Nothobranchius furzeri: one gene and its partners. The protein of the gene in region 1 interacts with the protein of each later gene in a pairwise test. Links are inferred from orthologs where the notes say so. Each region holds a gene or a part of one and is shown in the gene's direction. Other genes may lie near its edges. The genes, in order: dtx2, rfx6, glyctk, neuronal calcium sensor 1, trim54, stx12 and arnt2.

Evidence for each region.
Region 2: the proteins of dtx2 (region 1) and rfx6 interact in binary tests that used the Homo sapiens proteins (3 or more experiments, as listed by UniProt). The two-hybrid records come from large-scale screens. The link is inferred for Nothobranchius furzeri from reciprocal best matches to the Homo sapiens genes DTX2 and RFX6.
Region 3: the proteins of dtx2 (region 1) and glyctk interact in binary tests that used the Homo sapiens proteins (3 or more experiments, as listed by UniProt). The two-hybrid records come from large-scale screens. The link is inferred for Nothobranchius furzeri from reciprocal best matches to the Homo sapiens genes DTX2 and GLYCTK.
Region 4: the proteins of dtx2 (region 1) and neuronal calcium sensor 1 interact in binary tests that used the Homo sapiens proteins (3 or more experiments, as listed by UniProt). The two-hybrid records come from large-scale screens. The link is inferred for Nothobranchius furzeri from reciprocal best matches to the Homo sapiens genes DTX2 and NCS1.
Region 5: the proteins of dtx2 (region 1) and trim54 interact in binary tests that used the Homo sapiens proteins (3 or more experiments, as listed by UniProt). The two-hybrid records come from large-scale screens. The link is inferred for Nothobranchius furzeri from reciprocal best matches to the Homo sapiens genes DTX2 and TRIM54.
Region 6: the proteins of dtx2 (region 1) and stx12 interact in binary tests that used the Homo sapiens proteins (3 or more experiments, as listed by UniProt). The two-hybrid records come from large-scale screens. The link is inferred for Nothobranchius furzeri from reciprocal best matches to the Homo sapiens genes DTX2 and STX12.
Region 7: the proteins of dtx2 (region 1) and arnt2 interact in binary tests that used the Homo sapiens proteins (3 or more experiments, as listed by UniProt). The link is inferred for Nothobranchius furzeri from reciprocal best matches to the Homo sapiens genes DTX2 and ARNT2.

What each region holds. Positions count from the first base shown.
Region 1 is NC_091750.1:69,056,490-69,059,989, forward strand, and holds part of dtx2 (probable E3 ubiquitin-protein ligase DTX2), read left to right. Parts: intron 1-861; coding exon 862-1,062; intron 1,063-2,062; coding exon 2,063-2,163; intron 2,164-2,460; coding exon 2,461-2,631; intron 2,632-3,500. UniProt on the Homo sapiens protein: Regulator of Notch signaling, a signaling pathway involved in cell-cell communications that regulates a broad spectrum of cell-fate determinations.
Region 2 is NC_091742.1:9,783,778-9,787,277, reverse strand, and holds part of rfx6 (DNA-binding protein RFX6), read left to right. Parts: intron 1-269; coding exon 270-476; intron 477-1,753; coding exon 1,754-2,057; intron 2,058-2,275; coding exon 2,276-2,625; intron 2,626-3,500. UniProt on the Homo sapiens protein: Transcription factor required to direct islet cell differentiation during endocrine pancreas development. Specifically required for the differentiation of 4 of the 5 islet cell types and for the production of insulin.
Region 3 is NC_091743.1:64,675,131-64,679,401, reverse strand, and holds the start of glyctk (glycerate kinase), read left to right. Parts: upstream 1-1,471; 5' UTR 1,472-1,687; intron 1,688-1,871; exon of another isoform or gene 1,872-2,085; intron 2,086-2,409; 5' UTR 2,410-2,425; coding exon 2,426-2,781; intron 2,782-2,856; coding exon 2,857-3,008; intron 3,009-3,083; coding exon 3,084-3,259; intron 3,260-3,319; coding exon 3,320-4,210; 3' UTR 4,211-4,271. Other genes in the region: wdr82 (WD repeat-containing protein 82), read right to left, coding at 376-473, 1,021-1,181.
Region 4 is NC_091757.1:35,613,229-35,617,431, forward strand, and holds the start of neuronal calcium sensor 1, read left to right. Parts: upstream 1-1,403; 5' UTR 1,404-1,543; intron 1,544-2,139; 5' UTR 2,140-2,241; intron 2,242-3,138; exon of another isoform or gene 3,139-3,183; 5' UTR 3,184-3,216; coding exon 3,217-3,280; intron 3,281-4,203. UniProt on the Homo sapiens protein: Neuronal calcium sensor, regulator of G protein-coupled receptor phosphorylation in a calcium dependent manner. Directly regulates GRK1 (RHOK), but not GRK2 to GRK5. Can substitute for calmodulin. Stimulates PI4KB kinase activity.
Region 5 is NC_091742.1:14,249,008-14,253,087, forward strand, and holds the start of trim54 (tripartite motif-containing protein 54), read left to right. Parts: upstream 1-1,280; 5' UTR 1,281-2,169; coding exon 2,170-2,487; intron 2,488-4,013; coding exon 4,014-4,080. UniProt on the Homo sapiens protein: May bind and stabilize microtubules during myotubes formation.
Region 6 is NC_091751.1:25,527,620-25,531,633, reverse strand, and holds the start of stx12 (syntaxin-12), read left to right. Parts: upstream 1-1,214; 5' UTR 1,215-1,336; intron 1,337-1,411; exon of another isoform or gene 1,412-1,539; intron 1,540-1,879; 5' UTR 1,880-1,920; coding exon 1,921-2,014; intron 2,015-4,014. UniProt on the Homo sapiens protein: SNARE promoting fusion of transport vesicles with target membranes. Together with SNARE STX6, promotes movement of vesicles from endosomes to the cell membrane, and may therefore function in the endocytic recycling pathway.
Region 7 is NC_091749.1:5,894,150-5,898,353, forward strand, and holds the start of arnt2 (aryl hydrocarbon receptor nuclear translocator 2), read left to right. Parts: upstream 1-1,404; 5' UTR 1,405-1,532; coding exon 1,533-1,563; intron 1,564-4,204. UniProt on the Homo sapiens protein: Transcription factor that plays a role in the development of the hypothalamo-pituitary axis, postnatal brain growth, and visual and renal function. Specifically recognizes the xenobiotic response element (XRE).

The sequences.
Region 1 (3,500 bases):
TTTTTTACGCCTAACCGGACAAATCCTGTTAACGTGACAGCGTTCGGGTGGGTCCAGTCTGGTCCGTCTGCAAGAGTTTTTATTCTGACGCCACCTTCCAGCCACGCCTTTTTGTCCCGCTGAGGTCAGGTTTGGATGCTTCGCCGAACGTTTGCAGGTAAAATATTCATCAAAGCTGCTGATTTCTATTCTTTTCTCTGCCTTTTTAATTCCTGCTGCTCGCCTTTTAATTTAGCCGGCGCGTTCCGAACAGACGGAGTAATTCCAATCAGCTCGGAGGACCGGAACCTCATTAGTGGAACGCTCCAAAGCGGGACACGAGTAAATCATTTCAAATGGAAGGTCAGCGGTGCGGCGCCGCAGATTTAATCCTCATTAGGCGGTAATGAACGTTAACGGTAACCAGAGCCAAACTTCACCGTTTGGTTTGGATAAACTTGTGATGAAAACACGACTTCCTTAAACGCCGCCGCCGTCGCCGTGCTCCATTTGTGAGCGAGTTTTCAAACTGAAGCCGGCGGAGACAGAAAACATTCTGTTTACGTTTGTGCATCTCTGATCTCATTCAGAGTGAAGGATTGTGGGTAGTCACAGCTCCAAGTTCTGGTTTTTGCTCTGACACACACACACACACACACACACACACACACACACACACACACACACACACACACACACACACACACACACACACACACACACACACACACACACACACACACACACACACACACACACACACGCCTGAGTTGCAGCGGAGGCGTCGGCCGCTGCTACGTTTCTCATTCTTTTGATTTGTTCCTTTCTGTTCCTGCATCCCTCCACTTGCTCTCCACCCTCACCCGCCTCACCCCGCTCCAGGCATGGCCTCCATTTTGATGTCAGCAGTGGGACTCGGCGTGCACTTCACCTCCGCCCCCCTCCCTCAGCAGCAGCATCAGCCGCCGCCGCCTGCTCCCTTCGCTCTTCCTCCTCCTCCTCCTCTCCTCCCCTCAGCCAGCAGACCCAACAAGCCCCACAGCAGCAGTTCAGTTAGGAGAGCAAAGAGGCAGCACAGGAGAGGTAGCTACCTCACCCAAAAATACCCATAATCCACTTCACCTCCATCCTCCTCCACCCGTCCACTCATCTCCACAGGCTTGAGGAACATCTCATCCTCCATCACGACTCGTTTCCATGCGTCCTCACTCTAATCCACCTTGCCGTTTGTTTTGCGTCCCTCGACAACGAGGATAACGCGACACAGGTGATAAAAATGTCTCACCTGTGGATTTTCAGCGGGGGTTCAGCTTTGGAGGAGAGAAAAGGTCAAACCTTTGAGCCAGCAGGACGTTTATGATAACGACGAGTTTGAGTTTGTGTTCCAGACCTCAGGTCTGCAGAAACCTCAGAGAAGCTAATGAAAAGGACAAAAAGACGAGGACAGGAGCAGCTTCAGCCGTCAGAACTTTATTTGTCCTCAAAAATACTACATTTAATAAGATTAGGAATATTCTGTGAAATTCTGGAGCCTCAGTTTAATAAATCCCTAAAAATGTCTCATTAGGTTGATTTTAGGACGTGTGAGCATCACTAGGTTTGCTTTATTTGATGGACTTGATTGGATTTTGCAACTTCTGGCTTCAGATTATAAAGAAGAAATGTTGAAAGTGATGCGTGGATATTTACAAGACGCTGCGCGCCACAAACTGTCTGTTTTCACAGTTATTTATGTGATTTATTGCAACATTTTATCGTTAATAACCAACAGATATTGGAGCTGAAAGCACTCGGTGGCTGTGGGAAGAAAAACCTTCGTTTGCCAGTTTTTCTTTCCCAACAAACTAAACGAGCTCCCTCACCATCAGAAACACGGAGACTCCCTTTAGTTCATGTTGGGTCCCGTTTCGCCGTCCATCAGCATTTCATGTGTCCTGGTTCCATTAACTTCCATCAACCCTTGACTCTTAACGTTCTTTCTGACGGCACCCTCCTACAGTAACTCACCTGATGAGTAGAAGTGCTGGAGTTGTTCGTCTCTCCAGGAGAAAAATAGTTTCATTCCATCCCGTCTGATTTTTAGTTTCAGCACATTCTCGACTTCTCTCTCCGCCAGTGCTGACTCGGAGCTCTGAGGACGTGATCCGGCGCTACATGGAGGTGGTGGCTGAGGTTCCCGAGGAGGTAAGTGTTGTTGCATTAAAGTAAACAAGTCCCAAATGTATTTAAAGGTATATTTAGACCTTCTGAAGGGAGTTTATTTCTATTTGTTGGTTTTATTTGAAGTAGAGGGAAATTGAAAAAGACAAAAGCTCTCAGGACAGCAACACAAAAACACCATTTCTCTGAACAGAGGCTGTTTTAGAACTTTTACACATAAATGCATTTCAAGATGGCTGTAATATCCCTTTAAGACACGGCTCAAGGCATGATGGGAAATGTTGTGTGAAGCTTTAACACTCGGAGACTCGTCTCTTCCAGGACTGCATCATCTGCATGGACCAGCTGTCCAGCCCGTCCAGCTACGAGACGCCGCCGTCCTCAGAGGACGGGGTTCAGAGCGTCCTGCCGGACACCGTGGGAAAGTTCATCACATGTGGACACACTCTGCACATGCTCTGCATGCTGGCCATGTACAACAACGGGACCAAGGTACGGGGGACGTTTGGGCTTTCTTAAAGCCTAAATCAGGAAGAAGCCTGCAAACAGAATCGTTGTTCATACAGTTCTTGTTCAAGTGTCCAAATTAAGACAAAGGATTCGGTTCTGTTTTGATATAGAATGTTTAAAGAAGTCCTCGATTAGATTTTCTTTAGTTAAGGCCTTTAAAATGACAGAAATCCTTCGATCCAAAGGTTCTAAAAATAGCACGGGGTATTTCCAGGCATGCATGTTAGCTCCAGGAGCAAAACGATGTTAAAGTTCGACTCTTAACGCCGTTTGTGTTTGATCAAATGTGATTAAATATCAAGTCAAAGAAATAAAAATGCATAGAATATTAAACGTTATTTTTGTTTATAAGGCAAGAATGGGGATTTGGAAACATAATGGTGTATAAATGATGGTAATCGGTATGCTATTCTAACGTTTTAGTGTAAGTTTCAGGTGTTTTGGGGGGTTGGGGTTATGACAGGGTATCTGCGGGTCCTTAAAAAGTCTTAAATTTGCTTTTCCAAATTTAAGGCCTTGAAAATCCTTAAAAATTACAAATAATCCTTAAATCCAGTTTCCAAAGGTCTTAAATTACCAAAGACCCAATAAACAAGATTCTTTTATTTCCATAAAATTTTCGTGAATTTCTAGTTTGTGTTCAGCATTTTTAGTGTACGATGTTGGCGTATGCAGAACCGTACACGTTCAGCTGGTTGTGAAAGGGGGCCATTTTTAGATGAGCACATTAGCTGGTTAAGCTAGTGGGAGCTTGCGCCATGGGGAAGTGCAGTTTTTATGGTAACTGGGTGGCTAATCCCACGTTTGCGACGTGGTTAGCACCGGTTCCAGGCAATAGCTGGAAATTATAG
Region 2 (3,500 bases), on another chromosome or scaffold:
AATCTGGTCTTTTGTTTTTAACTCACAACTTAATAAAATTATTGTATTTGTTGACACATGGAGGTTGTTTTTGTGACTTAAAAGAAGATAATAAAGTCTGAGTCAGCCTTAACCAGTGTATAAATTCAGGTGAAAATTTTCATCTATGAATAGTTTAAAATGGTTTTAAAATGTCATGAGAGAGATTGCTCTGAAAAGTAGTAAATGAGCCTTGACACAGTTTTTTATGGAGTTTAACCCAGATGTTTTTTGTATAATGTCACTTTCAGATGCCAGTAAAGCAACGTTCATGGCGTCACCCAGTTCCTGCTTTCTAGCCAATCGCAGCAAGGCATCTGCTCCCTCTGACCAATCAGTAAAGAACGAGTCTCTGGGAGAACACACCTACAAAGCTGTGTTCACCAATCAGCAGCAGGGTCTGGAGGCGAAAACTGGGCCCTACCAGGGAAACAACACATCTGGGTTCACGGCTGCAGGTGAACAAAAAACAACTTTTAAAGTTTGTGACCAACGGTGAATCTGCAGCAGGGAAACCTCTGCTTCAGCACACCTGGTTCTAATCAGCAGGTGATTAACAGACTTGTGCATGATGAGCTGCTGAACAGGTGTGTTGATGCAAGAGAACGATTAAGGCCCTGTCTCAATACTCGTGCTGCACCCCATGGTCCTCTGCAAAGTGCACTTGGAGGAAGTTCACGTAAGGCTTCGAGTGCGTAGTACACAAGTGTGCAAATAATTGCCGAGCTGGGACAGCAAACAATTATTTGACTAAAATTACTTTCATTATCATCCACATTAAATCTCATTTAACATACCTCAGAACACGCCTTCCCTAAAGATAGGAAGTTCTCGTGGATGAGAAAAGAATCATGTGAATGCGGTTAACCTTAACCTGATTTACTGTGCCCTGTATGATTGTGCATAAGTGCACATGATCTTCTTGTCACTTTTAACATTACTGATTATCATAAATAATTATTATTAGCCAAAGAATAATAATTCATTTCAGTAATTAAACACAGTTAAAATGAACCATGATGATTATTTATGAACATTGTAATAGACAGTGAAAAGAGTTTATTAAAAAGGATTCTTTTAAATCTTGAAGTGTCCTTCGTCTTGCGGATGGAACAGCAGTCAGATAAAGGCAGTCAGATTAAAGGGGTGGTGGACAGACATTCAGTTTCCTGTGAAAGAAACACTGTAGATTGTCGTAGCAGCCAGGTCAAAGTGACCCAGGCTGTGTGTCTGACCTGAGGTCAAGAATCAGGCCATTCAGTGACACTACAACGTCCTTAGTAAAGCCCATTTGAAGTCGGGCAGATCCTCGAGCAGTCTGGTGCAGAATTTAATTTAAATGTATGTAAAAAAAAAAATTAAACATGATGGGAGAGCAGAGCCAGAGTCTGTAGGTCGAATAAAAGATGCTGATGTAGATAAAATAAATATTATTTACTACAATTTTTTGTATAATTGGAAACTATGCATAAATTTGTGTTTTCTAGAGACACCCTGACATCTTTAGGAGACTCATTCTGTGACCTTGGAAGTTTTAAAATGTCTCTTATTGAGAATAAGGATATGTGTAAACATTATCGGCACTTTCTAGTTTTCAAATGAGTTGAAAATGGTGTAAAATCTCCCACCGACTTGAAGCAGAACCCAAAGTTACTTCCTGTTCTAAACAGGAACAAAGTGTCTGAACTTCATCCATCGTGATGTTTGAAAGTTTCTCCTCTTCATCTACTCTCAGGAGGTCAGATGGACTTCTCTCAGGTCAGCGGCCCCCTCATGACTCCTCCCATCTCTCCAGCTGCGTTTGTCCACCGTGGCTCCGTCATCAACCAAGGGCCCATGGCGGGGAGGCCCCTCACATCCTCCTGCTCTTCTTCCTCTTGCTCATTCTCCTCGTCCTCCTGCTTCTCCTCTATCAGTGCAATGACCCAGCCCTGCCAATCCTACTCAGAGACCCTGTACCACAGCTTACCTCAGACCAGCACTGGCTACTTTCCTCCAGCCAGCAGCCCCTCTGGTCCAAACTACCAGACTGCTCTCAGGTCAGATTTACTCTCAGCTGCAGATTTGTTATGTGTGCATCTAAATATTTAAAATAACAAATCAAATTTGGTTACGTTTGATAGCTTAACAGGAAACAAATACAGATTTAATTTTTAATTTTATGTAAATTAAACTTTCCACATGATTGCCTGAATAACTGAAGAAGAAACCAGAACTTTGTCTATTACAAATATAATCAGGGTGTTCTGATTTTCAGATCCCAGACCCAGAACCAGTGTCAGTCTCCTCTGGCGTGCCACCTCCCTCGCTACTCCTCCATCACTGACCAGACCCTCGCGAAAGACATCTTCTACAACCATCATCCTGCTCCTCTCCATCACTCCTCCAGCAGCTCAGACTGCTCCCTGACTCCTTACGGCTCAGTTGTTCCACCAACATCCAGCTACGCCCCCGGCTCGGATCCTGTTCGGACAGAACGAGGACTGGACCAGCAGGCAGCCGCTCAGGTCCTGGATCCTGGTGAGGGTTTTGGATTTGTGGAGGGCAACCTGAACCTCACCAGTGGAGCCTGTCAGGAACAGACGTTCTCCGTTACAGGACACAGCGGTGAGGAATCACAAACTGGAATGTTAACTTCTCAAATCTCTTATTAATGAGCTTCTGCAAAACAGAAACAATCCTGTTGAACTGCTCAGCTTCTATTTATGAAAAACTTATCGAGAGGTGTTTTTGTCTTATCTGTTCAGACCAGTAAGTTTGTTTGTACTCTAGGTCAAATTCAATCAAAAAATAACAGTTTCCAACGTCCTTCACAATCAAAACCTCCACAAAGGTCATCAAATGTAGCATAGCAAGATCTTAAAACTCATAGTTATTGTTTCTGAAAATACCCTTTTTACTTAAAATTTGTCTGAAAAAATGATTGTTCAGCCGCTTTTCCATCACCACCATCTTTTGTTTTAAAAAGTGCTTTCAGCTATCAAAAGCACCCAACCACTGAACACAGCACACATATACACTCACTGGCCTCTTTATTGGGTATATTTGTCCAACTGCTCGTTAACACAAAGTACTGATCAGCCAATCACACGGTGGCAACTCGATGCATTCAAGACGGTCCGCTGCAGTTCAAACTGAGCTTCAGAATGAGGAAGAAAGGTAATTTTAGTGACTTTGAATGTGGCATGGTTGTTGGTGCCAGACGGGCTTGCCTGAGTATTTCAGAAACTGCTGATCTTCTGGGATTGTCACGCACAACCGTCTCTATGGTTTACAGAGAATGGTCAGAAAAAAGGAAAACATCCAGTGAGCGGCAGCTCTGTGGGCAAAAATGCCTTGTTGATGTCAGAGGTCAAAGGAGAATGGCCATACTGGTTCGAGCTGAAAGATAGGCAAGCAGGTATGCAGAAGAGCATCTCTGAATTAACAAAACATCGAACCTTGTGGCAGATGGGCTACAGCAGCAGAAGACCACACCGGGT
Region 3 (4,271 bases), on another chromosome or scaffold:
ATCATTAAACTCGTGTCAGTCAATAAACATGTAAGACCTGCAGCGGGAGTAAATGATTAAAACGAATCCACCAGCATCAACATGTGATGAGTACACTCAACCGTGGGCAAGGCAGTCACTTGTACAGTTAGCTCCTGTATGGGGCAGAATCACAGACCCTCAAACTGTACAAACAACTACCTCAGACTACAGTGAGCAGCATGATGAGCTGTGATGGAGAAGCTGGAGGTGGAGAAACATCCTGTAGAGTTCAGTCAATACAACAGATCATGATGCTGTGGCTAAAAAAAACAAACCCTTACAGACCAAGAAAAGTATTCATCCCCATTCACAGTTGAATGAATGTAATTATGGAAATGACATTAGTTTACATACCATCAATTTTGTTGGAACTGTAGACCACAGTGTTTGCAGCATGTGTGTACCTGATCAGATCTACTCCATACTTTTTACTATACAGAGTCCTCTTGGGCCTGTAATTAATCAGAACAAACAAAACGTGATCAGACTAACATCAAGAATTTTAATCAGAACAAATAAAACTAACCAACTGCTATTTTGTTAAAGTTCTATATTCTGCCGTTCTTGTTTTAAATCTGATTACATGCTAATCCAAATCTTCTACACATTTGGTTTTCTCTCATTTACCTTAAAAATAATGTATCCACATAATTGTATTGGAGCTAAATATGAAATAATGCTCGCACATGCTCATGTGAATACTCGTTTAGATTCAAAATTACTGATGATGCTGTAAAATAAGTTTTATAAAACTTAACAATTCAAATTTCTGCCCTCTTTACACCATCACTCAAGCTAACTATTACAAAAAATTTTAACATGTTGGGTTTTATTTACGGGTATATTTTACCAATCAGATAACCACATAATTATTACTCTAGCGTAATTCAAACGCGTATTTTTATTTGACCGCTGAGTCCTACGCAGTGCGACAGGCCTCGGTGTTAGCTTAGCATGAAGCTAATTCCAAAAAGTAAACTCAGCAGAAATCGCCCTTACTTTCCTTCCTGGCAGTCGTACAACACTATAGAGTCATCGTCGCTGCTGGAAATAATAGTTTCTCCGTTCGAACTGAAATCGAAGCAATTAATTTTGTCTGAGTTCTCACGAAATACTTTAGCAACCCTGAAGCTCCGTAGCACATTGTCCGTTAGCTTCATGGTTGTCTTGAGGGGAAATAGGCCCTCGTTCTCTTTGAACTTGATTTGGAAAGTAAACTTGAGGAAATTCGTGTGGATATGTGAGCAACAGTTACACTACAAGTCACAATTATCGAGAACTCAAATCAGAAACAACGACAAAATCCCGCCTGTAACACAGAAGGGAAGGGAAACGCAATGTCCGTCGCTCTATAACGGAAGTCACCTGACACGGGTGAAAAAACACGTGACGAGACAGCGTGTTATCGCGAGAATTACCACCAATACAAACAGCAGAAACACAGTGAAGAACAGCGTGAATAATCAAATCTTTCGCGTTTTTAGCTGATCTTACTTTGAAATTTCAGAGTGTTCCGATTTAAACACAAGACAGTTATTGTGTTTTTGACGTTTAATACGTATTTTTTATAATAGTAAGTGTGGAATTTTGATGTTCGAACATGAACGCAGAGGTAACGAAGAAAGTTCCAGCAGGAATTTTGACTCCATGGATAGAAACATTTCAGGTATTTGGCAACAAAACTGTCAACATTGACAGTTTTAGGCAAATTATTTCAATTTTAACTAAGATGCTTTAAAGTGCCAAAATATTGACTATGCACGTCTACACAATTAGACACTAGTTTAGTTTATCAGAAGAAAAAAAAGTTGATTTGGGGGTAACTTGCCTTTTAAACTTAATTTAATTTGATTCACACGTGTTCAAGTAAAATAATATGTCTCAACTGGATGAAGAGCACTTTAGCATGGTCTATGATCCGTTAAAGTTAATCATTAAACAGAGTTTAAACAACACCAATCATTGTCGGGCCAGATATTTGTTCCACTGCTGAGCTAGAACACACACGACGGGATTCCACTGGAATTTGCAGGCATTAAATGCCACCATTCACGACCCACACAGGTAGGCAGTCTTAAGGAATCTCAGAGAGCTCAATATTGGAGTGAAAGTTTGCAAAAGTAGAATGTTGATAACAAATATACAAGTTTTAGTTATTGGATTAGTATTTTTATGGTTGCTTTTCAAAAGCAAGATATTATGCACATGGATGAGGATAAAATTAGATGCAGAGGTTTTTCCACACCTCCTTTCTTTCGTTTTTGTACAACGAGGAATTGTTGGTGTACTAATTCCAAGTTTCTTTGAGGCATGTAATAAATTTCAAATGTCTTCACATGTTAAAGGTTTTTTATTGTCATTCTTTGTCCTGATTCATGAATTTCTCAGACCCATTGATCCATCAATGGCCCGCGTCCTTTCCCTGATCCGGCCTCAGCCTATTCTGGCCCTCGTGGGCCGGCCAAAACCTACATTCTGCAAAATGTCAATGGACTCACGGGCCCGGAAGGTCTTTGCAGCGGCAGTGGAAGCTGTGCAGCCAGACACTGTAATCAGGAAGAGCATAGAGCGCACGGAAGATTCAGTTCTTATTGACGGTCGCAGATTCACACTCAAACACAACCTGCACTTGGTGGGCTTTGGAAAAGCTGTTCTGGGAATGGCTGCGGAGGTAGAGAGGATCGTGGGTGATCATTTAGTGAATGGCGTCATAAGTGTGCCTCATGGGATTCAGCAGACGTTACGGCAGCACGGGAAAAGGTAAGGAAAGACCTTCAGAGGGAATCAATTTATGCCAAAGAACTAAAATAAATCAAGCTCTTAATTCTATCGCAGCCATCTCCTGCTAAAGGAAAACAGTCGAATCAAAGTGATGGAAGGAGCTAAACACAACTTACCTGACGACGACGCCCAGAGAGCAGCTGAAGGCATCAAGCGGTTAGCCAGTGAACTGACAGAAGATGATTTGCTACTTGTACTGATCTCAGGTAAAACTAACAAAACTGTTCCTGATCATCACATTTAATAATGTGATCTCCAACATCGGGTTCATCTGTACCCAGGTGGAGGCTCTGCACTGCTACCTGCACCCATACCACCGATCTCTCTGCAAGATAAACTGGATGTTACTCGCCGACTTGCAGCTGCTGGCGCCACCATTCAAGAGCTCAACAAAGTTCGTCGAGCCCTCTCTTTGTTAAAGGGAGGAGGGCTCGCACACTATGCTCACCCCGCGCAGGTAACACACTTCCTGTTAAACTATTTATGGACGAAAAGCTAACTTATCCTCTCTTCTCAGGTGGTTGCTTTGATTCTGTCTGATGTTATTGGGGATCCACTTGATTTAATAGCTAGTGGTCCGACCGTAAGAAGTGAGGTGTGGCCTGAGGAGGTTTTGTCCATCCTTGAACGCTACAAGCTGCCAGACTCCCTGTCAGCATCAGTAAAAGACGTCCTTGCGAGACGAGGTCCCCGGTGGAAAGAGAACAAGGATGAAGCTGAAGCATCTGGAGATGTTCTTAATGTCGTGATTGGCTCCAACAGCGTCGCCCTTCAGTGTGCAGGATGCTGCGTTCGAGACCTAGGTTTCCGCCCTGTGGTGCTTTCACCAGGTGTGTGTGGAGATGTGAAGTCTGTCTCCAGACTTTACGGTCTTCTAGCTCGCTTTGCCTCTTCTCGTGAGGAACCTCCTCCAGAGATTGCAGCCGAGGTGCTGAGGCTTGGGCCGGAAGTCGGCGTGGAGAGCTGGGATCTGTGTCGTACCATGCAGGTACTGGGCGAAGGGCGCACAGAGGGATGGGGCGCCACGTGCCTGTTAGCTGGAGGGGAACCCACGGTGGAGCTGACGGGCTCTGGACGAGGTGGTCGAAACCAGGAGCTGGCTCTACGGGTGGGACTGGAACTCAGAGGCCTGGAGCTCCCACCTAAAGGACCCGTGTTCCTGAGTGGTGGCACCGATGGCCAGGATGGACCCACAGAGGCAGCAGGGGCCATCACTGATGGGGGCCTGTATGACGAAGCCCAGGCACAAGGGCTTTACATCGATAATGTTCTCACTGACAATGATTCTCACACATTTTTTTCTCATCTCTCTGATGGAAAGCGTTTACTGGTTCCTGGCCTAACCTGCACCAATGTCATGGATGTGCATATGCTACTGGTTCCAGCAATTCCTATTAAAATAAGCTAATTCAAAAGCACAGAAGATTGAAGAATCACTAGAGCTGACTTACATTTTTGCTATTTGTTGA
Region 4 (4,203 bases), on another chromosome or scaffold:
GGCTTGTGGGAAAAGGACTTGTTCTTGCATCATTGTTTTAGGAAAATAAGACACCAGTGCATGTTCAAAACTTCAAAACGATTCTTCCCATCTCTTCTAACAAGTACAGCTGAAATCAGTTTGCATCATTCTTGTTTTGCATTTTGTCCCAGTGGGAGATGCTGCATTACATAGATCAGTAATCTTAATGAAAAAATCTGAGGAACTACATCTGAAAACAGTTTTATGATGATGTTTGTGACTGAAGGGAGATAGCATTTTTGATGGAATTTTTCCAGGAAAATGTCTTCATGATTACAAAAAAAACATTTGGGCTATAGTTCAGTTTGGGAACTTTAGATTTGTACTCAAATCAGCATAAATATGTTGCAGTGAACTGTGATGTTCTCTTTGCGTTTAGTGATTGCAAAGGATAAACGCTGACTGTTGCTGCAAAATAGACTCACTTTTCATTTTATCAATTAGATGAAAATTGGAGTTGATGATCACACTTGCATAAGTGCAAATATATTTTAAACCCAGTAACGGAGACATTGCATGCCCTTGTAGCAAATTAACAAGCCTGTGGCTCAAATGACACCCCCATATATTTTTCTCATCCAATTATTAAGATCCAATTAAAAACTTGAAACAACAAACAAAATTACCAAGCTGAGTTAAGAAACCAAGCTAAAAATGTGTTTTAATTATTCTCACACCTAGGACAAATAAAAGCAAATAGAAATAGAACAATTGATAACTAATGTGACACGGATATTTCTAAGGGCAGGATGAATGGGTGGATAGATGGATGGATGGATGGATGGACAAATAGATGCATAAATGAATTGATACATGAATGGATGGATGCCCTTGCAAACAGCTAACGTCTCATGGACGTGCAAATAAGGTATTGAGTCCGTTGGTCCAGACCAATTCCGAACTATGTATTTGCACATTTGGGCATGGATGAATGAATGACGCATGGATGAACTGATGAATGCGTGGGTGCAGGGCTGGATGATGTATGCATAGGTGCATGGATGATGCACTTGTTAAGTGCAGAAATGGATGGATTTTGGATAAGATAATTACGCTTTAAACTAATTCAGGGGTGCCTGATTTAAATATATGTAAAAAAAAACTTCGGAAAGTTTTCACAAATGGGACCAGACTGGGGCCACTGAAAAAAAAAATCTGGTAACGATAAACTAGCTAAACCACCTTTTTATACTTCGCAGTGAAGACTTGATAGTAAACGTGGTGTGTGTCTGCTCTCCTTTCTCGGTATGGAAAAATGACACGTGTAAAGGCTGTGCAGGCACACAAAGAGTCTGTGTATGACCGTTGCTGGTACCGCGACGTCAGCGACTCTGTCGGGGGCCAGCAGCAGCAGCTACGTCACTCCCTGACGGCGGCACATCAGAGGAGCACTGACGGTCAGCCGGGGCTAGCAGCAGCGAGAGGCGGCGCGCGCTCGGCGGAAGAGGACAGCGGTTCACTGCTTTCTATACGCTCTGTTGTGGGTCAGCCTGGACCAAGTCCTCATACTCCAGTAGCGCAGGTAAATCCTAAAGTATTTCTTCCCGAAAGCTTGAAGCATTTTTATTTTTACGGTCAACTGGCAGCTCTGAACAGCGCGTGGGTACCAAACGTGGCGAGTGGACTAGCGAGCCTCGCATTGTCCCTGTTGTCCTGTAGCCATAAACTGCGTTGCTATGGTGCCGAAAGGCAACATCCCACCTGCTGCTGCCATCACACACACACACACACACACACACACACACACACACACACACACACACACACACACACACACACACACACACACACACACACACACACACACACACACACACACACACACACACACACACACACACACCTGTCAAACGTTTGTAAAGGAGTTTTACTGTTTATGACTTTCGGTTTCTTTAGAACCATTTAATTAACTAATTTAATGGAGTAGCCTACACTGGAAGAGTTTAGCCTCTGCAGCTTCTAGAGGTAAAAAAAAAAAAAAAAAAAAAAAAAAAACAAGTCATCTGCTTCTCAGTGTTTTTCCTTTATTTGAATTCCATTCCATCCCATTCCAATTTCCAGTAAAACCATCACAGGTTGCCAGTTTCATCCTAACTGCTGTTTTGTTTATTTTTACAGCTTCCAGGATCTAAAACGGTTGTGCAAACAAAAGATGGTGATCACCAGCGTGGCATCCCTTAGAAGGACTTTGGACAAAGAGAGCAAATGTTAGCACTGAAGGTGCAGTAGTTTTCTGCGTAGCACGTCTCAGACAGATGCTGTTGTTAGAAATCAGTGCATGCCAATACCAGGCCTGTGACACAAAGAAATTCCATTATCCCTATCTCTCTTGACTGCTGTGACAAGGAGGGAAATCACCAAGCCATTCTGTGGAGAGGCAGGGAGGGAGGGAAAATTATGAGTCAGAATGTAGGAGTAAAAAAACTGTCACTCTTCGATCTGCTTAAACTTTCTAGAGAGTGCACAATGCTTATTTTAAGAGCAGTACCAGATACCTTTTTTACTGTAGAGCAGGTATTCAAAACAGTAGAAACATGTGACACATGCTTGGTATTTATTTAGTTAATAGAATTGATGCTCTTTGAGCAAAACTAAGGCCTATTAATTGCATTTTAGTGTACTCATCTCCTTATCTCAGAATGGGGGGATTCTGTTCTGCTGTAATGTACGCTGAGCAGTAGAGATAGTGGTGGGAAAGGAGGGGTGGGTGGAGTAAAAAGAACAGTGAGCGACTGTGAGGCAGAGTGTGCTTAACCCAGCATTTGAGTGACTCTTGTATCCAAGGACGAAGGTAGCAACGCATCCGAAAGCCACTCCTCGCCCACGGACTGCTGTGAAGAAGTGAGGCGGACGCTCAGACGCTCAGTGGTGCTCAGATAGACTCAACAGCCTCACAAAACCCCTGGGGTTTGATGTCTGATGTGCCAGGGATGATGACAGTGCAGATCATGACCACAGCTAGAGTGAAGGATAGACTCACGTAGCTTGAATGGGAGTTCCCCCCCTTCTTTTTTTTCTCCATCGACACAGACCAAAACAAAATAGTGTTTTGCCTTTTAAGAAAACAGTGTCATTTGTATCCTAAATCAGCCCACGGTTGTTGCATGTTTCTGGCAGAGGAGCACACTGGAGCGAGGTAGTAACAGGTGCCGTGTCCCACAGCGATTCTGGAGGTGTGGATGAGAGCTGAAGATCATGGGAAAATCAAACAGCAAGCTCAAACCGGAGGTGGTGGAGGAGCTGACAAGGAAAACCTACTGTGAGTTTCTGCCTGTCTTTATAAAAATGATAACTTTATTAAACACTTTGTAACTTTGGTTAAATAAAGTTTAATATATGAAAATACATATATTGATGCTGCAAATTCCACCTTCTGTGACCCTCTCTACAGCCTAGAGGGATTCTTCACTCTGGTCATTATTGATAGAACAGAGCTGCAGCTAAATGTCAGGCTTATTTGATTTAAATTTACAGTTCAATGTGTAGCAAACAGATTCGTTAAGGTCAGACAGAAAGTTGGAATCAGCATATTTAAATCATGATGTGGAAACTTAAATATAAGGAATAGGCCTGCACGGAAAACCTGCGGTATTCGATAGCAATGATTAATATTGCAATGACGATATTACTTGCGATAAATAAAAACTTAACTCAAGAACAAAAATAATCAAAAACAAAGAAATAAAAAAAAATCATAAAAATGAGAAAAGCAAAGGATGTGAAGAAAGGTAAAAAGAAAATGAACAAGAAAAGACAATCAGTTGATCCCGGGAAAAGCAGAATCAGCAAAAAGAGCAGAACAAAGCTAACTCAGGTGTTTGCTAACCATCTAAATTAAGTGCTGTCCGCCTCGGGGGCGGGCATCTAACCTATGAGAACCCACCCAATTGGCCAAATGGGTAAAGAGCTCTATTTGATTTGTTAAAAAAAGCATCATGCTTCCGTTTCGTTGACAGAATGCATTATGTTTAGCAAACATTTGTGATATTTACCTGTTCTTTGCGATATGCATATTGTGCATGCTGATATTGCGATAACGATATATTTATGATATATTGTGCAGCCCTAATAAGGAACCTGAGTTTGTGTCAGCTGTCGTGTGGTTTCATGGGTTTTGCTGCAGAACTCTTCTTTGTTGGTAGATTTACTAAGTTAAATCTTTTTTAATGCTTTACTGTAAAA
Region 5 (4,080 bases), on another chromosome or scaffold:
GGAGAGGAAAACTCCCTTTTAACAGGAAGAAACCTCCAGAGGATCCTGGGTCAGTATAAGCAGCCATCCACCATGACTCACTGGGGATGGAGAAGACAGAGCACACACACACACACACACACACACACACACACACACACACACACACACACACACACACACACACACACACACACACACACACACACACACACACAGAGCAGTGTGCTAGCCGATGGCCTCCTCCATGAAATTATTATATAAAATGGTTTGTCAGTGAAGATTGTTATTTAACTTATATTTTTTCTGCCTTCTGTTCTGTATTTGAAGCCATACTATGTAACTTTTTCATATTTTTAAATAATTTTCTTGAGTCAGTATGTGCTAAAATGATCCATTACAGGGTTAATGAAATGCCGCTCAGACCTTCAACTTCGGACTGCTGGGCACCTGTTGGACTTGGGGGGAAAAATTGCTGACATACCTGGTGCTTCAGTCTGCTTCCAGCACATTTCCTGCATGTTTTAGATTATGAACACACCTGATTTGTTGATGTAGTGATGACTCACAACCATGGACATAATTTTCACTTTAGAAGTGGGGGGACACGGGGGGGGGGGGTCTTCACAGTATGTTCTAATGGGAAACAGGCTTCAACACAATGGTTGTTTTCTGCTTGGTCCTAGAGCTCAACCAGTGTCAACTTAATATAGCGTAATATTGTCTTTGGATGGTAAAAAGTGCAGGGGTCAAAACTTGACTTTGGAAAAAGTTGGGGGGGGGGGGGGGGGGGGCATGCGTTAAAGAAATAATAGGCTTGCTTTTCAGCACCCCCTATAGTCTGAAGCGAAACCAATCTCGCTGTGCATTCTTCTTTTTAACACTTTAATCTAACAGCCAAAATGTCTCCCAGAGTTCCTAAGTGTCTAGAGGAGTGAGTCATCACTAAACGAAACAAATCAGCTGTGTTCATGATCGAAAACATGCTGGAACCAGACAGCAGCGCCCGGTAGGTCAGCTCAATTTTTTCTAAGTCCCAACAGACCGGAACACGATGGTCTGACCACAGGGGGTGATGGGGGCATTAACCCTGTAAAGGGTTATTTTAGCATTGGCTCAAGAAAATAATTTAAAAGTATGAAAAAGTTTTAAAGTGTCCATTTAAAAAGAGGAATGCACAGCAAGAAGATAGGTTTGATTATTGATTTGACCAAAGATAATTAATACGTACACTAGGGGGTGCTAAAGGTAAGCAAAACTGCCAAGTGTGCCTTTGTGTGCAGTACTGGAGCTCCACAGGGTACGGCGCTCTCACCCTTTCTGTTCACCTTTTACACCTCAGATTTCACCTACAACACCAGCAGCTGTCTGAGTTTGGGATAGATCCAGACTCTCCATCTCCTCTGATCATTTCTTTGTTTCTCTCAGAGAAACAAACTAATTTCTCCTCCTGATGACATCAAATTAAATAAAAACAAACTTTAAATTGATCCTGTCAGCTGTTTCAGTCGAGGGAAGCGTCTCGTGTTTCTGTTTCAGCATCTCGTCCTGCTTTATTTTCATCCTCCTGAGTGACGCCATCAAACATTCTAGAGCTAATTTTAGCGTCTCCTAAGAGGAAAACAAAAGATAAAAATGAATTTACTGAGTCAGAGTTGTTTTAGGATGTCTGTGGCTCTGATCAGCTGGACGTTCTCAGAACAAAGATGATTAGATATGATGCCGTGTAGCATTACATCTCATAGATAATCTTGTTAATCACTGCAGGAATCTAAATGAACTCTTCGTGTTGTCATGACAACCATTCACAGAGAACTCAAGATTTTCTTTGAAACATAAAAAAATAAAATTATGAACAAAATAAAACTTCTGAGTCAGTTCAGGAGAAGAACTCAGGATTTAAACAAAAAAAACAACAAGATTTTACTATTTTCTCCCAAATCTGAGCAAACAGGAAGTGAGTTGTGGGCTGGTTTAACTGGGACCAGTCAGGAATCAGCTGTGGGGTTTAAGGAATCATCTGAAGTGTTAACAACCAGGAACGTCTGTCATCGTGTCTCCAGGATCTTCTCTGAGGTGTCGGACTTCATGGAAACATCAACAGAGAGTTCTGATAGTGGTGACCCTCCTGCCACACCCGGAGCTCCCAGAAACCCGATCCAGAACAAACACTAGAGCTAAAAATATCTGATGGGAGGGTCCGTAAATCCGAGCCAGACGGGCTTTCAGAGGGGGAAGAATAGAGTCACATCTACAATAAAAACCAAACATCTCACAAACGCCAGCAGAATCTTTACCTGTTCGCCATCTGAGGCAATGAGCTTTGCTTCTGGGTTCAAACCTCCAACACCTGGAAGTTCTGAGCCCGGTACCCGTAGCAAAACCACGATGGAGAACCTGGAGAAACAGCTGATCTGCCCCGTGTGCTTGGAGATGTTCTCTAAACCTGTGGTGATCCTGCCCTGCCAGCATAACCTGTGTCGTGGGTGTGCCAACGACGTCCTGCAGGTGAGCATGAAGATCAACAGGTAGACTCATCAGAACCCCTGATCCAGTTCTGGTGATCCTGTGGGACTTACCCTCAGTTTCATGTTCTTAGCTGACACCTGGTGTGGTCGTCTGCTGCTGGAGTCCACCTGGAGCAGCTGGTGTGGTCCTAAAGGAACCACTGCTGTCTTTCAATCATCAAGAACCAGTCTGACCAGCCTCTGTAGACCCTAGATGGTTGTGGGTTCAAATCCTGGTAGATCAGACCATCATGCCTGGTACTAACAACATTCCACCGTAAATCTCTATTCTGATGCTCAGTTTGAACTTCAGCAGCAAACACCTTCTCTGATAGATGATTGATTTAAAGGAGACAAATTATGCAAAACTCACCTTCTGCATTTGTTTTGCGCCGTCGTGAGTCTACGGACTCCATAAACAGTCCAGGCAGGAAGACCCCATCCATCCATGTTCTGTCCGTCGTTGGTTTCAGGAATTACGTGCCTAAAATCAAGAAGTCCCAGATTGTGATTTCAAAAATGGGCAAATAAGCATAGAAATACCTTCACATGTCGACTCTGGAGGAGCGGCAGCTCTACTCTGAGCCCCTGTTGGATATTTGAGCTCCTCACCTCATAGGGACCAATCAGGAAATTGGTGGGTGTGGCCAGCAATGTTTTCTCAAAGTGACAGAGCCCTGAAATGGCTCATTTTGGAAAGTACTGAAAATGATAAAACTGCTGAAATTGCTTTATGTGAGAGAGATTTAGTGCAAAGAACTTCATAAACATCTTCGGTATTGACATAGAGCAACTACATTTAGCTAGAGTTGCTTTGTAATGTATATTTTGGCAATACTGTTGCCATGGTAACTCAAATTGTCATTAAAAGTGATTTACCACTTCTTCCAACCGAGCCAGTCAGTGTGATGCACAGTGTGTGCAGGTGCATGCTTGTATTTGAGCTCCGTCAAGTTCGAGGTGCTTTTTATTGTGGCTGTTTGTTAAAAGCGTTGCCATGGTAACACTAATTCCAAGCTACAGGCCCTAAAAAGGCTCATTTTAGCAGATTCAGACAAAAGGGTGCCTTTCTGCATATTAACACATCATTGTAGCTTTGTTGTTTTATTTATCACCATAAACAGCCATAAAATCATAAACATAAAAAAATAACTCTTATTTGTTGTGGTGAAAAAGTCAGATCACTATTTGAAAAACACTTTTTTTTAAATCACCTTGAAAGCGTTTGAATTAGTCCTCCAATGCTGATATGAGTGAAGGTTCCTTTAATTGTTTTCATTTTATGATTTAAAGATAAATTATTTGTTATAATAAACATATATACATATATATATTTATTATTACATCGACATATGTCGATGTAATAAACTTAGAAAGCGTATAAGATGTTCCTGAGAATCATCGTTTTAAAAATGACTCCAGCTGACTAACCTCAACCCATTAAACAGCCTCCTGTTTATCATTAAGATAAATGATAAAATGTCTTTTAACAAAAATCCAAGAAAACCAGTTTTTGTCTTCAACCAGGCCACCAACCCTCTGTGGCAGCCTCGAGGCTCCTCCAGCAGCGGACGCTTCCGCTGTCCATCATGCC
Region 6 (4,014 bases), on another chromosome or scaffold:
GGGCACAACAGCAGAGTTCTCTGTCCGGAGCCGGGATCGAACCTGCAACCTTCCGATTACTGGACAACCCGCTCTGTTGAGCTACTGCTGCCCCAATGTAAACACTGTGAATAATCTACTAAATACTAATGGCGAAACATTATCCCACAAAGTCTTCTTAGAAAAATATAACATTAATACTTCACAAGAAGAGTATAACATGGTAATTAAATCCATCTATGTTTGTATTTTCTATTTAACACAGACCATACAATCAAACATCATCTTATCTGCAACAGCCAGACCTCCAACTATTTCTGGGATTCCAATCACAGATAAGAAATTTAATAATTCTGTTATTAGAAAAGTAATTGATCCTGTCTCAACCCCGATATGTAAACACTGATGGACTTTTATGAATACAAAACTCTGGAACAGGATCTTTCTGCTACCTCACCAATATGTTATTGTGAATAAGATAAAAGAAATTTGATTCAAAATTGTTCATAGATATTACCCGTCAAAAGCAAACATCTGTATTTTTTTCCAAATGTTTCTGACATATGTACTTTCTGTGGTTGTAAGGGAGAAACTATTGAACATGTTTTTGTTGATTGCTTTCATGTAACTTTGTTTTGGTTCCATTTAAAAAGATACATTTCCAAAAAGTTACAAAAAAAATATTTCTTTAAGCAAATATGAAATACTTCTTATTGTTACTAACCCTCATTTATCATCCAATGAAAAATACATAATTAACTTAGTCATTATTTTAGCAAAATATTATTTACATAAAATGATTTTTCAGAAAAGTATCCCCTTCTATAATTTCAGAATTACAGACCTTATGAAATATTGGAACAGCATTGAAAAATTAAAAATGAAGAACAACAAACTAACAAAGACCATCAACTTATTTCATCATTTCAACTTAGACACAGCAGACCCCTAAGTGTTATGTTTCTAAGTTATATATGTTTTCGTCAGTTTTTTTTATTTCTTGGTTTTTTGTTTAATAGTTTCCTAATGTTGCATGTATATTATTGCAATTCTAAACAACTGTAAAATGTGATCCATGGATTTATTGAATGTGTTTTCTGAATAAAACCTGTAAAAAAAATTAATAAATTAAAAAAACACCACGGACCAGGAAGTAGGTTTGGCTCTCTGACCTATGATTGGAGGCCGTGATAAAATGGGTGGGACGCTGCATTGTGATTGGTTGAGCTGTTGAAGTAGCATCCTGGTATTGGTTGTTAGGGTGTGTTGGTCTGTGAGGTCTTAGCGCTAATGCAATATAGCATCAACCTAACGGAGGACGAGTCATCTACGCCCATGTATCGATTTCAATACATTAGTAAGCAAATTACAGCATGATGCCTTGTTTTAATGTAGAATTTCGTCTTTGTTTTAATTGACCACGCTCTGCGTGTCCAGTTTACGAGCAGTTTTTACTGTAAAAAGACGAAAGTAGACAAGTTCGCCACCGTTAGCCTAAAACGAAGGTTTAGCTTCTCCGTTCTACCAACACAACGCTAGCTGAGCTAAACAGATACGACGGTTTGTTGAAGTGTTCCGTTCCTTATTGTTATTGATTAATTATGGGGTTAATTTAAAGGCGTTTAAACAGCAAACTGGTCTGTTCGCTAACTCGGTGTTCGGACATTTGTTTACATTTACATTTAGTTTAACTGCTTAGCGGTGATAAATAAGTGATAATCTGACTTGATTGGACCTTTGAGCTCATTACTGAAATAATCAAACGTCATTCATACGCGTGACAGAGTCAAAAAGGGAAACGAGTTTAAATCTTTAGACCCTTAAAACTTACTTAAACCATTATGTCGTTAAGCCAAATCGTTCAATAATGCAATGTTTATTGTTCCATTTTCTTTTGCAGTTCCAGTTTAACGTGTCAGGAAGCTCCTAACAGTCGCAAACATGTACGGAAAAGCGGAGTTCCGCCCGGTTCACATGGACTTCAGCTTTCTCATCCAGTCCTGCAGCTCAAACATCCAGAAGATCACACAGAACAGTAAGAGGTTTCTCCTGTTCCTCGCGCTTCAGCCTGGTGGGAAATCACATGCCACATGGTCACGTGATGACCATGTGAATGAGCTTTATAGCCTGTTTGTTATCCCCACGGTATTATCCACTGATCATCATCTCTCCAGGGTCGCACTTCAGTCTTTTTGGCTTCTTTAATGTTATTTCTTCAGAGGTGTGAACAGCAGGTCTCTTGATGAATGATCAGTTTCTCGTTTTACAACAAAATTATTTAATAATAAGGGGGGAGTGAGTATGTAACAGGGTGTGGTGTCACTTAATTATTATTAACAATTACTAATAATTATGAGGGGAATTTTTTTTTGTGTTGTTACTGATGTCTGTTGTCCCTCTGGAGTGCTGCAGGAGTACACACAGGGATTTATGGGGGTTGGATGAGGATAATGAAAGAAAGAAAGTAAATCAGTGTTTTGTGAACTGTTTAATTTGACATAAACATGGCAAACATGCTTTCTTGTCATTGTGTGTGAAAAACAGTGTAGAAATAAAAACAAACGACATGTGTTAATAGAGAAATAGCTGGCAAGCCGTGCTGACGCATGACGCATGCGCCGTGAGCGGTTTTGGTACTTTTTGGGTTGCAGCCACTCGCAGCGCTGCTTCAACCCTCACGAGGGACGAGCAAAATATCAAACATGCCAGAAATCAGTGCGAGCTCACGATTGCTGATAGGTAGCTGGTCACGTGGTGTTAATTGCCTCTCGTAACCACCTGTATACTACACGACGCTCTGCACAAAACTTGCCCCGATCTTGTAGATTCTCGCACGAGGGGAAAATCGGCTCAAAAAAGTGAAAGAGTCGCACAGTGCCCGCCTGGCTTAAAGGAACAAATATGATTTTGTAGTTCAAACAACAATGCTAAATATGTTAATTTACATTTGAGAACATTACCTCATGTCCAGTTGAAACTGGTATTGTTTAATGAGTATTGTATTGGTTTTCTCAATGACAGGAAATTGAAACATTGATATAATTTGCTTTTCGTTAAGACAAAATCGATATCGGCAAGTCAGGTTTTTCTCAAGATCGGTGATTGGCCAAAAACTGCAATCGGTGCACCCCTACTTCTCACTTTTTGCAGGAAAACCTAAGTGATATAAAGCTGATTTCTGTGTTTTAGTTCCGTCAGCGGGCTAGCATGTCCAGCTTTTCTGAGAAAGTACGACTTGAAAATGGAATACTTCCTGAGACCAAATCCATTCATCCCGTTCCATCAGCCATTGTGGGCATAAAAAATAAGTAACATCAAAAGTATTAATGTGCATGGCTCACAAGAATGTGTTTTGCTAGCGACACTTGGTAGAGATAGCTTCTCTCAGACCGTCGGACCAATCGGAGGACAAAAAACCCCTGATGTCACCGTGAGCCAACTACCTGGCTCAGCGATGTGATTCTGAAAGCTCACTGGTTAAAAAAACCAGATCCCATAGTAGAGGTTAACCAATGTTGGATTTTCTATTACTGATGCCGATAAGCAGAGCTAATGGTCAGCTGATGGCCGATATCTAGACATCAGTTGATACACAAAATTTCTGAAGCTAAATCAGTTTTTGAACTTGTAATTTAACCAACTGTTAAACCTTAATTTTGTGCACGGCTCAGTGTTAAAATCAGACATCTAACTCAAGTGAATCAAACAAAATTATTTGTTATGCAGAAGTTACTCAGGAACATAACTCTGCAGCAGCACCAGGCTGCCTGAGGATGTGCCTGACTTTAAATCTGCTTTACTAAGGAGATACTGTATATTGGCATTGGGCGATAAATCACTCTACCACTACTATATGGTATAACTAACAAAGGCCCGTTCTACTGATTCTGAACGCTTTGGGCAGATTGGACTCTCCCTGGCATCAATAGAGGCTGAAATCTGATTGGAAGAAAAATCCAGATGTAGAGGACACGGTGTCGGTACAGGATCGGCTCGGGGTCCTTCGACTGCCGATGACGTCACATTACTGCAAAT
Region 7 (4,204 bases), on another chromosome or scaffold:
TATGACAACAACTACTGTGTATCAGATTTTTTTTATATAGCTCCCATCATTTTGGTCCGACAGGAAGCCAATGGGCCAATGAGGTAGAGGGTAAAGTGCGGGGTAAACTAACCAATCAGAGGACAGAGAAGATCTGCCACAGGCCACGCCTCCAGAGTACCAAAACCCCTTAACAGCTGAGCGAGCGAAGTCAGAAACCGAGCGCGCAGAGAGGCTGCCGCGCGCGCACGTTTTCCTCTGCCGTGTGCTCGTTGGCAACGCGCGCACGCAGGCTTGTCACTTGTGCACATCCTTGTGCGCTCACAGACACAGTTTGCTCCCTCTCAGTGCACAAATGACCTCTCGCCATGTATATTTTCACTCGCGAGTCCCGTTCACACGCGCGATGTGGACCCAATCCGCGTGCACAGGTTGTGGCACGGGTCTAACGCCATAGCGGAAGCCAGTGGAGGTCACGAGGAGACAAGAGTGATGAGGCCACAGGAGTGGGTGTGGTTAGGAGACAGGCAGCAGAATTGTGGATGAGTTGAAGTCTGGTGAGGGTTTTGGGACACCATAAACATGTTAGTGCTGTAGTCCAGGGGCGTTTTCTTCGAGGACCTCCTTGCTTGTGTCCGAGACAGGCCAGGTCCCCCAACCTCAACTCATACACACACACACTCTTTAAATGAGATCATTTACCACTTTTATGCAGACATACAGAGTTATAATGTATAATGTTGGGTGTGTTATTGGGACTTTTATGTCATTTTTACAAATGAAATCTTGATAACCTCACAACCTCATCAAAGACCAAATTGTGGGGACCCCCTTAGGAGTCCCGACCCCCAGCTTGGGAACCCCTGCTCGATTTATGACGTGATGAATGAATTTCAGGGACAGAAAAGGAAAGGGAAGGTCAAAGTTGAACAAAATGCATCACATGACAAAAACATCCAGAGCCCCTCCACCACCAACACAGGCTTTTCTTCTTCTGTCTGCCCCTCACATGGGCCTGTCTAGAACCGGCCCTGCTTCCTTGCTTGTTTCTGACTAAAATGATTCTGGGTTGTGAATAATGCCGGCTTACTCGTATTCCGGTGTTATTTATTGAGGTGTAGGCCCATGGCCTCAGCTACAGGAAGGTGTTTTACTAGAATAACGCACTGCCTCTGTGTGGATGCTGTCTCCAGCAGTAAGGCTGAACCTCATGGAGAACTAAAGGAGCCTGATGGTCATCTCCACCAGAACAGCAACAACATCCTTCTGTGATGTCGCCCAACCCGAATGAAACCCTCCTCTCACTTGGGTGGACACGGTGTGGCGCTGGCGCGCGCTCCCGTCGCGGGGAAGCGCTACCGGGGATAACGACATCGCTACAACACCTGTACCGGCGCTGCATCATCACCGGCTCTAACGCCCGTTATTCATGCGGCTCTAAAGTCTCGCGGTGTTACCATTCAGACATCTGACCCGGAGCTCTCTGTTGTATTGTGCGTCATCTCCATCGGTGCTCCTCACAGAAACATCGCAAACACATAAACGGCGCAAACATGGCGACTCCGGCTGCGGTGAACCCGTCCGGTAAGTGAACGTTCGGGGGGGGGGGGAGAGGCCGAGGCCGGTGCCCCCACAGGCCGCCACAGCATCTGTCCCCTTCCCCCACCCGGTCCGGCTCGGCCTCTTCGTGTTGTTCTGTTCGGGCCCAGCTCGGTCTTTGTGTGGTTGTGGCGCTTCTCCCGTGGCTTCACGGGGCTGCTGGGCCCGGTGTCCACGGAACCGCGGCTCGTAACCGTTAAACTGGACAGACTGAGTCCCGGTTGGTCCTGAGACGGGTGTGGGGACGGCTCAGCTCAGGCTGGGCTTCGGCGCTGCTAGAGCCATCCCAGCACTAGGATGAAGGAGTTACGGAGGTTCAGCCATCCATAGTGCAGGAAGAGCAGTGAGTGGTTCCTGCTGCTTCCGACCAGACCCGGTGATGCTGCTACCTTCACTGACCAGGAGAACCAGCTTCTGCAGCAATGGCTTATGTTCGTGAAGCTGGTTAGGGTCTACAGGAGCATGGTCACTTAAGCTAACACACACACACACACACACACACACACACACACACACACACACACACACACACACACACACACACACACACACACTCACCAAATGTGGGACAACGTGAAGTTCCAATATAATGAGGAAAACAAACAAACAAAACGTATCTTCTGCCTTTTAGCCCTAACATCACTGTTACACATACATAAAATGATTATTATTATCATCGTATATTTCTTGTATACCGTAAATCCTCTAATACATAATAATAATGCTTATATTGCTTTCCTTGACGTTGGACGTGTTACGGCTAGTTTACCCATTTAATTAGAGATCCACTAGGATAAATACAATAAAGTTGAACTAACCAAACAGAATATTTACTAAGACATCACAATAGAACTATAGACACATTATTGTGTGTGTGTGTGTGTGTGTGTGTGTGTGTGTGTGTGTGTGTGTGTGTGTGTGTGTGTGTGTGTGTGTGTGTGCTCTGTCTTCTCGATCCCCAGTGAGTCGTGGAGGATGGCTGCTTATACTGAGCCAGGATTCTCTGGCGGTTTCTTCCTGTTAAAAGGGAGTTTTCCTCTCCACTGTCGCTGCATGCTTGCTTAGTATGAGGATTGCTGTATAGTCACTGACACTAGCCAGTGACTTGATGCGATTTGCTGGGTTCCTTATATAGGAAACATTATTTCTGATTGGCTTAATGAACTGTGAATTGGAATGTTTATTATGTGAAGTGCCTTGAGATGACTCTTGTCCTGATTTGGCGCTATATAAATAAACTTGAATTGAATTGAATTGAATACAGGCCCGGGTCTGTATTTTACTCAAGCTCCAGGCCTTTATTGGAAGGAGGACCAGAATTAGAGGCAGGCCTCTATTTCTATTTGAGCAAAATGAACTAATGGTTCGCTGGAGTTTTTGACAATTAAAATTGAGCCCACATTTTCAAAGTTAAACACATTTCTTTTAACAACGGTAGTTTCTGCTTCAGCCATCTCCCCCCTCCCCCTGCGCAGCGGCCGCAAACTCACTGATGCGCCTGCAGCCTCTCAGAGTTCCTGCTGCTCTAAACATTAAAATAATTATTTCATTTTCTGTTCCTCACTTCTGATGACCTTCAATGGTGTCTTTTTGTTGCAACAGCAGGTACAACAACTAACTTGTTTTATTTGACTATTTTTATGTCCTGTCTCGTTTTATTATCTTCCTGCATCTCCTCTCAATCCTAAAGAAAAACTGCTGCCTGGATTCATATATATTCACCTCATGAGTTACCTTTGAACTGCAATTCTAAAAGATCTACCGACCGCAAAAACAGCGGGGTGCTTGCCGGCCACATCAGTTAGGTGCGTCACCGAGGACAAAACAGGTGATGCGTCCCGATCCACAGCAGCGAAACGCATCAGGCACATATAAAAGAATTAAAGACAGAAAACATAAAAGGAAATGAGCCGACATGAACGATCGCGTGTTAAATTAGTTTTTGAGGTGGCGACACCTGATTTGATAATGTTACTGTGGCCGTGCTCAGGACGCAGATGTCTGGAGCGCGTCAACAATCAGAGCTTTGCATGCGCAAGCTGGTTAAGGTTAGGATGGGGGTGAGGGGAATGTAAAATTGCAAGAGGGTAAAGGTCACAATTTGGTTAAATGTCCGTTTTACGGCGGGTGTCAGTACCGACGCTCTGGCACAGCGCGTTGCCTCCCGACGCGCAGGAGGTTGTCACCTGCTGACAGCAGGCTGCTGTCTTTTCCGAGGACTGCATCTTGCCGGTCATTATCACGTGACAGCGACTAGTCGATGACAGGCATAAAAAGTCACTATAGAGCGGTGAAGTCGACTAGTGACTAGTTCATACAACCCCTGCTACTGCTCCCCAGAGTGTTCTGCAGCATAATCAGCACGTTCTCTTTGAACTTGATATCAAATTTTCGCCTCCTCTTCGTCTCCGCACGGTTAAAGTTACCCTCGCGGTCTATCACTGGCAAATCAAAAGTGAGACGGATGACACAACCGCCCCCCGTACTTGCTTGTTACCACATTCCACCCGGCCACAATAAAAAACCGGCCATTATTCACCTCCGCCGACTCCGACGCCGGCCAAAATATGATACCCGGCAGTTAATTAAATACAGGCTAATATTAGAGGATTTACGGTATATTTTA